Linked DNA regions of Xenopus tropicalis. The protein of the gene in region 1 interacts with the protein of each later gene in a pairwise test. Links are inferred from orthologs where the notes say so. Each region holds a gene or a part of one and is shown on either strand. Other genes may lie near its edges.

Region 1 (3,967 bases):
TCTAAAGGAGAAGGAAAGGCTTTTTTACACTTCTGTAACCCCTTATGCCCAGCAATTTGCTGAAAATCACCCCAGCTTGGGATACGATTATAGGGGACGCCAGGCCAAAAAGGTTTTCAGTGAGGAGTGCAAGCCAGGGTCTAAGCTTAGTGATTATAATCATTGAGCAAAGAATTGGCAATAAACCTTTCCTTCTTCTTGAAGATTAGGGGTATTTGACATTAAAAGGATGTAACAGGTGTCCCTTCCTGTACTGCTGATTCAGACTACTGTAACAAAGTAGCAGACAGCTACTTTCCGCCGACTTCCGCTACAGTATTTCAAAAGTCAGACCCAGGGAACAGAAGGGGGATCAACAAATACATCTGCCATTACATTTGCAAATAACTTAAAACATGTAACTATTTCTATGCAACTTTCCAATATACTAAGTTTTTCAATGTAGTTCCCCTTTGCTAAGTGTGTTTCTAAGGCTACTGCAGTTGCCCATTTGGCTAGTTGCTAGGGAACAGACCAGGTTTGAATGACAGACGAGATAATAGATATGAAAGTGGCTCAATAGAAACTACTTTAGCAATTCACATAAGCCAAACGGCGAATCTGTTGCCATGCTTCACTCTGCCCATAGTTACAAGTGTAGTGAGTATGTGTGTAGGTATTAAACTACAACTCCCAGCACCGCACAATGGTAGGGGTGGAAGGTACATGTTAAGCTACGAGTGTATCGCCCATGCCTTCTATGGCGCCTAGGCTGCAGACTTGCGTTTAACCAGCTCACTTGTTGGGAGTCAGGGACATATATAATCAAATACTGACTGTCTATATCCTCTATGAGGCTGGCGGTCCCGGGCATATAATTCATCCTCTTTCCCGACCCTCCACGGGCCACTACCTCAAACCGGACAACACACAAAACTGGCCTCCAAAAGCACCGCCATCCTATTAAAAAAATGGCACTTCCGGCGGGACGAAGGCTCGTCTTATGGGCGGTGAATATGTACGTGACGCCATATTCAAGCGCCCGGCTGATGACTTCTGCGCCTCCCCGACATTTTTTGCTGGGCTTCCAATTTCGTCCTATTGGTGGTTGAACTAGTGTGGGCGTGGTTAAAATGGTTACCGGCCAATTAGAAATCTGAACCCAATTATTTCGCCGACTTTGCTCAACAACGATTGGTCGCATTCACGCATTCGATGCCTTTCACTTTCCCATTGGATGAAGTGACTTTTACATGACGTGCTGTTCGTGCGCAGTTACCCTGACCCCGATGACAATCAGTTCCCTCTCACTTTTTATTGGCCGCTAGCTAGAGATAGAGGCGTTTCTGAATCAGCGCACTTGCGCTCCATTGGCTGTTTGTTGTCTAGCTTCGTATTGATTGGCTGTAGGCGAGGTGCCAGGCTCTCACTGGTCGCTCTGCGTCGGCTCAGTTGACACTCGCTTACTCTCTAGCTCCCTGAATTGGAGGGTCCATGTCTGCCGCGCACAGGCCTGTGGAGGGAGGTGGGGGATACTATGGGGGTGCAGGAGCGGATGTGCTGGCAAGACAGCGGGGGGAAGGTGAGGCAGAGTGGAGAACTGGCTATTACCCACAGGAGGCGGAGAGAAGCTGGGCCGGAGGAGGGACAGGGGGAGGAGCTCCTGGAACTCAGGTGAGTAATTGCAGAAGTCAGGACGCAAAGTCATCAGGTAAAGTGTCATGGGTGTCTTTCTTGTTTCCATCCATCCAAACTACAGCACCTTTTCCTGAGGGGATCTGGGCAGGGGGCGGGTTGGATACCAAACGTGTCCATTCATTACCTGTATACATGGATATCCGGTACCTAATACATACGTGTGTGTATATATATATATATATATATATATATACAGAGCCTCTAGAGGCGCCTTTGTGCTACTCCTCCATAAACACTGGCCATTCATTTCCTATATAGTGAAATTGAACATTTAAAGGTCAAGTAAAGCCCACTATAAGCCAGTTTTAATTGACTAATATTAACACGTATTTACAAACCAACAACATATTTTGCAGCTTTTCATATACATAAAACATACAGATCACACACAAATATGAATTGATACAGAGGGACCTTTGTTTTGCTTGCCATAAGGCAACTTTATGGGGCTGGAGTACAATGACACTTGGGAAACCACAACCTAAACTTATGCCATAAGGGGGCGCTCTTCTATGGCAAAATGTAATGCTGCCATCCCTTAATATGGTAACATCAGGAATCTTGACTAAGGTGGCGGGATGTCTTTCCAAAATGTTTATATGTATGTATGTATAAGCGCCACAAGGGTACGCAGCACTGTACAATCTTACAATATACCAAATTACACACAGGGAGGACAAGTGTTATAAAAAATACAGTAAATAAGTATAAATACACAGGGAGTAAGTGCCATGTGGAATGAGACACAGTAGGAAGGAGGTCCCTGCCCCGTAAAGCTTACAATCTAAGTGGTTGGGTAACATACAGGCACAAATTGGAAGGTAAGAGTGCACCAGGTATGGGCATTTGCCCTTAAGCGCAGGACTGGGCAAGATAATGTTTTAGTGCTCCAGAAGGTAGTATATGTTATGCCCAAACAATGGCACCCATACTATTTTTTTAAAAAAAATGATCAGACCCGTTGGGCTAGGTAGAGCACTATGGAGCTTTAAGGGTGGCCGCCAGTAGGTGGGGGACAAGCCATCACATTGGAGGCTTTATGAGGGAGTATTTTAATGAGAAATTCTTTCTAGTTTATTGCTACTGTATAACAACATGAAGTACTAGCAGCATTTACACACATAATCCATTTCCAGAGCTGCCAAACAGAATGCTTGCATTAGATTCGTTTAATATGGTTACACTCATACAGATAACATCTCCATAACGCGGACAGATTCCTGATTTGAATTATTCCAAAATTAACTCCTATAACGTGTGCAGTAAGGACTGGCCACATTCTTTTCAGCACTTTCATAATGAGGCCTAAGAAGTGCCTACGGCCAATACATCTATAAAACCTAACCTAGAATCTAACTGCTTTATAATTATCCTGTGCTGCAGCTTTCTAGCCCTGTGTATATTTGGCAGACTTGTAATCAATACATTCCTTTTCCATTCCAAATTGGTAAATCCCAGTGAGCTGACTGCCATTTCCTGAGCAATTGCCTTTTATAGTCAGATCTTTCTGTGCTGAACCCCTTTCCATGCTGGGTTCTAATAACCTCACTGATCTCCAAAGCAAACACAGATACATTATCTTCTTGGCATTCTAGCGCTTATCAGGTTTTTTCTGTTCAATTCTTGTTCCTCAGCACCCCCTTGCCCCCTATATTTTGGCTCAGGAAAACATAGCCATAACAATAATAGAAACTGAAAAACAATGTGGGTCCCAGTACTGATCGTTGTGATACTTTTTGATTTAACCACTTTATCTTCTCCATGGTTGGCAGTGAGTGTCGTGATGTTGCTAAGCTGCCTCAAATTCTAATGCAGAATTCTAAATATATCCCACTGACTTCCTTGATCCAGCTTACTCTTTCCCTCCTCAGAGAAATCCATCAGATTAGTTTGCTACAACTAGATTAGTTTGCGATCACCATCTACAGGACTATTCCTAAACCCTTTGGGAAATATGGTGCAGGGACAGGGTTAAAGGAGAAGGAAAGTTAAAATCACTTGGTGGGGGGTACCTTTGCTTTTCCTTTAAAGGAGAAGGAAAGGCTAATAAAGAGTTAATCTCAAGCTGCAGGCATACCTTCAGTTCTCTCAATAGTGCCCTTAAGTCTCCCCATATTTCTCCCATTCAGATGATCAGAAGCCTCATAGAAAAAAAACCGCTGAGCTGTGTAAAGAAAGTTCCCATAATGCCTCACTCCTGTACCAAGACCAGTGTACATGTGCAGTTAGTAAGACTATGAGTAAGCTTCCTGCTGATTGGCTCAGATCACACACATTAAGCTAGTAAAAA
Region 2 (4,219 bases), on another chromosome or scaffold:
TTTAATTATTCCAGGTCCAGGCATACATAAGATGTCAATTGCATGATAAAAAAAAATGTCTGTATATGGTTTCAACAAAAAGTTTGATGACTTTCCTAGAGTGATTAAGAAGCAGCAATTTCAGCTTTAGTATTAATGGAGAAGGTAAGTCATTTTGCTGCCAATAGATTTTCGATGTTAGTGCCACCTAGAACTCCATATTTATTCTGCAGAAAGCATTACCATACCTAAATAAAGAGCACTAGGGCCTTTCTCTTGTTGCAGCTGCCACTATAGCTTGGTGTTCATAGCTTCCTGTTTCCAGTCTAGCCCTAATAGCTAGGGTTGGGGGGAGTGAGTTTTATGAATTCTTGAGGGAAAGGGAGAGGAAGCAGGAGTGGGGAGAGCGGAGTAAACTGAGCAGACTCTGGCACTAGGAATGAAGGATTTTTCTGAGAGAGGAAATCAAATACCCCAAGAACATGTTTACAAAAAAAGGAGAAAAGAAATGCTGTGTTTCTTTTGACAGAGGGTGTTTCTGTGAGTGCTTATATTTACATAGACCTTTTTGATAAAGCTTACTTAGTTTTTACCTTCCCTTCTCCTTTAATGGGGCAGATCAAATTTAAATGAATTTTTAGTATGATGTAGACAGGGATATTGTGAAACAATAAGTAGTTGGTCTTCATTTTGATTTTTTAGAGATTTCATTTCACTATTTAGTAGCTCATGTTTGCAACTTCAGAGTTTTCCCTAGCAACCAGGCAATCTCTAAAATGAGGGACTAGGTCAAAAAGAAAGAAAAGTAAGAAGTAACAACTGCAGCCTCACATTGTCGGAGTCAGTGGCTCATTTGTACAACGAAAAGGGCACAACAACATTGACCATTATTAATATATATATATCAAAAATATATGAAAAATAGAGACCAACTGACAATTTGCTAGGAATAGGACATTACTGAATAAAAAGTAACAAAGCTGGACTAACCTTTTAAGGATTGTAATTCATATTTTGGAATCTGTTAAATGTTTTAACCCCCATGAGGTTTAAGAAATCATTAGAGGGTTTGAGTTTTTATTTCAATAAATTTTTATTTGGAATCAGAAACAAGTAAACAGACTGTGATTCATTAATCAGCAGAAATGGGAGTTTACAGACAGATCTTAAACCTGGCTGCAAACTTCTATTTCAGGAAAATAAAACTAAAAAAAACTCACTAGAGAGGCCCCCTGATAGGGAACACTTCGAAGACCCGTTTGGTACCTAGACAGACTAATATTTGCTTACCTAATAAGTCATAATTATCACTATTTACCAAGATGTCAGATTATAAATGGGCCAATAAACTGGATCGCACATGGACACGGTCAGCTGCCTACTGTTGTGTTTGTTTAGGCCAGCAGCCTGAACATTCAGAACTATGATGCAACTTACACTGGCCACCATGTTGATCGGGAAGATGTAATGTTAAAACATTTCCAAATCATCTGCAATTCATCAGGAAGACATTAAAAACCCCAAATCTGGCATACAAGTCCAGATGACTGAAACCAGCCAAGCTGTCTGACATCCCTGGGCAAGTAAGGGCAACTAGGGTTCAGATCAAGATATGAATTAAAAGGGACTGTATTTATCTCTCTCCCCCAAAATATTAGGTAAATCTGTTTAGACTAATGTTGACAGGAGACTAAATTAGTTTAACTGAGTTACTTGAACACAGGACGTAGCCATATACATCCAATATAAACGGGAAAGTAAACATTGTAGTAAAGTTCCAAAACACTTTTATTATTTATTAAAGACACAAGTAAGAGTATAGTGAAGATCCACTAGATCCCTGGCTTGGAGTTGCACTGAGGTGTGCAGGCACCACTTTCCCATGTGTTTCCTTCTCCCCAGCTCCAATAGCGCAAGCTAGACTGTAAATATAGGACTACTCACTGGCGCTACACAACCAGTAAGCCTGAAAGTGAACGTAACCAGATGGTGACAGCAGCTATTTGCTGTTTGTTACTGCTTACATTGCAAAAAGAAAAAAACACACACACACAATGCCTGCGCTTCGCCCTGCGCCACCGAACTAAAACTCTCTCCTGAAAACAAGGGAATTCTGGAAGTTGGAGTTCGATCGCTGGAATCAATACACCCGCTGCCAATGGTCCGCGATAACCCAGCAACAAGTGGCTGCCATGCAGATGCTGAGTGTGATAGGAACAAGGAGGGAAAATGGCTTTTATTTAAAGGAGGAAAGTGGTCAGGGACGAGCAGGCGCCGCTTTCACGGCTATTCACAAAACCGCTTTACTCCAGCTGCAGCGCGACTTCTCAAGCATCGCTCGGCGCACTACGTAAGTGGCGTAAGAGCCGCGCTTCTTGCAAGCGAGGGAGACCGAGCGGAATGGAGGAGAGCCCTGGCTGAGCGCTCGATACTTTCCTAAACGACAATATCGCGACCCCCTGCAGTAGGGGGCCTCACGGGCATAATTTGTCGGTTGCATGAAGCGCTGCCGTCGAATCAGCTATTGCTAAGACGCGCCTCCGACACAATGCAACCTGATTGCAGGGCAGCTCAGTGTCCGGAGGAGTGCGCTGCTTGCAGCACTTACGTGTAATGAGTCGGTTTCTCGGTCTGCGGGGAGCCGTTCAGCGCCGTTTTCGAAACCGACGGCATTTTCAGTCAAAACAAAGCTATGCGCATGCGCGGGAATCCTGGAGCCTGTGACTTGTCACTCCTCCCAAGACTGACAACACCCCCAGCACCGCTCCTCCCCAAACTGAGCTCATCCTTCCATACGCAACACATTCCCCGTGTTGACCGTTTCCATTCCATACTGACACTCCCCCTTACAGCTACGCCCTCCAGCTAAATACACAAATACGCAACTCTCCCTCTTCCATTCTGACACGCCCCTGCAGCCACGCCTCCTCACTCTGACAAGCAACATAACAAATCCCCATCAGCCCCAACTCTAGGGTAACACCTCCCACTGCAAGCCACGCCCCTGACAATGACAACATTGCCTCCTACAAACACACTTTCCCCACCATCCTCTCCCAATCCGTCTTGTAGCCACACCTCCCTCTCCTCCAACCACACTCCTTTAAAACGACAACATTACCCTCTGCCTCGCAGCATGAACCCTCCTTAGTTAATTGCTCCCCACGCAGGCCCATTTGCGGTCACGTTCTTTGCAAGAGTTGTTTTGAAAAAGACCTTCCCGACATTGGCAACGCACCTCCCATTCTTCTTCCCACACATAGCAGCCTTCTTATTCCTCCGCCCATTTAGAACTTTTATTATATTCCTTTTATTGGCGGCACATTTCATAGACCTACAAGCACAAAAAAACGCACGGCAGTTCCCTCTGTTGGCACCGCCCCTTCTCTGCAGTGCCTTTTCACAAATACCAACTTCCTCACACACAATATTCACATGCATTTTATATTATGAAGACGGCATTGCCCTTCCTTTATCTTCCTTTGTACTGCCCCAGTTTAGTCCGTAAATACATCTATTCCTCCTCCCATTAACAAGAGGCTCCTCCCATTGGTCCTTCTCACAACACAGCCGCTTCCATTTTTACGCTACTGTTGCATTGCTCTTTCCCTCTGACAATATGACACCGCAGTTGCATTGTTCCCTTGTTTTACCAATATCGCACTACCGTTGCATCGTTCCATAAAGGAATTGTTTCCTTACTCTGACAATGCAACTTTCATTCCATTTTACACAGAGAACACACCTTCCGTTCTACTTCACCCTTTTACTGGTTACTATGGCATCTTCTCTAATAAATATCTGGACAAAACACATTTTAGCAAATATCAGAATTAACTCCCATTTTGCACTCTGGGAGGTTGGGTCTGCGCCCACTTCTGCTTCGGTATTATGGTTATTAAAATAAGAAATGTGGTTCAAAGTTAACGGGTACAGCTTTTTGCTGGTCTTGTATGCAAACAGCACACTCCCACTGCACGCATGCACAAAATTTTACAGTCACATATGGCAGTAATTCTGATTGCTCTGTATGGGAGATACATTCCAAAATTTTGCCACCCCCAAATTTGTGCCGCCCTAGGCCCGGGCCTTTGTGGCCTCTCACAAATCCGGGCATGATTGCTGTTAGTTTGCTTGGTGGCCTCCATGCAGCAGGGCAATTTAGTATGTGGTTCATAGTGACATTTGCCTTAAAGGAGACATATTGGATAAATGGGAAAAACCCTAATTTTGTAGGCAA

What was found. The genes of interacting proteins can lie anywhere in the genome.
Region 2: the proteins of bag4 (region 1) and unkl interact in binary tests that used the Homo sapiens proteins (3 or more experiments, as listed by UniProt). The link is inferred for Xenopus tropicalis from reciprocal best matches to the Homo sapiens genes BAG4 and UNKL.

What each region holds. Positions count from the first base shown.
Region 1 is NC_030679.2:132,219,567-132,223,533, forward strand, and holds the start of bag4 (BAG family molecular chaperone regulator 4), read left to right. Parts: upstream 1-1,167; 5' UTR 1,168-1,473; coding exon 1,474-1,653; intron 1,654-3,967. Other genes in the region: U6 snRNA-associated Sm-like protein LSm1, read right to left, coding at 817-862. UniProt on the Homo sapiens protein: Inhibits the chaperone activity of HSP70/HSC70 by promoting substrate release. Prevents constitutive TNFRSF1A signaling. Negative regulator of PRKN translocation to damaged mitochondria.
Region 2 is NC_030685.2:28,323,134-28,327,352, forward strand, and holds the start of unkl (putative E3 ubiquitin-protein ligase UNKL), read right to left. Parts: upstream 2,810-4,219; 5' UTR 2,653-2,809; coding exon 2,588-2,652; intron 1-2,587. UniProt on the Homo sapiens protein: May participate in a protein complex showing an E3 ligase activity regulated by RAC1. Ubiquitination is directed towards itself and possibly other substrates, such as SMARCD2/BAF60b. Intrinsic E3 ligase activity has not been proven.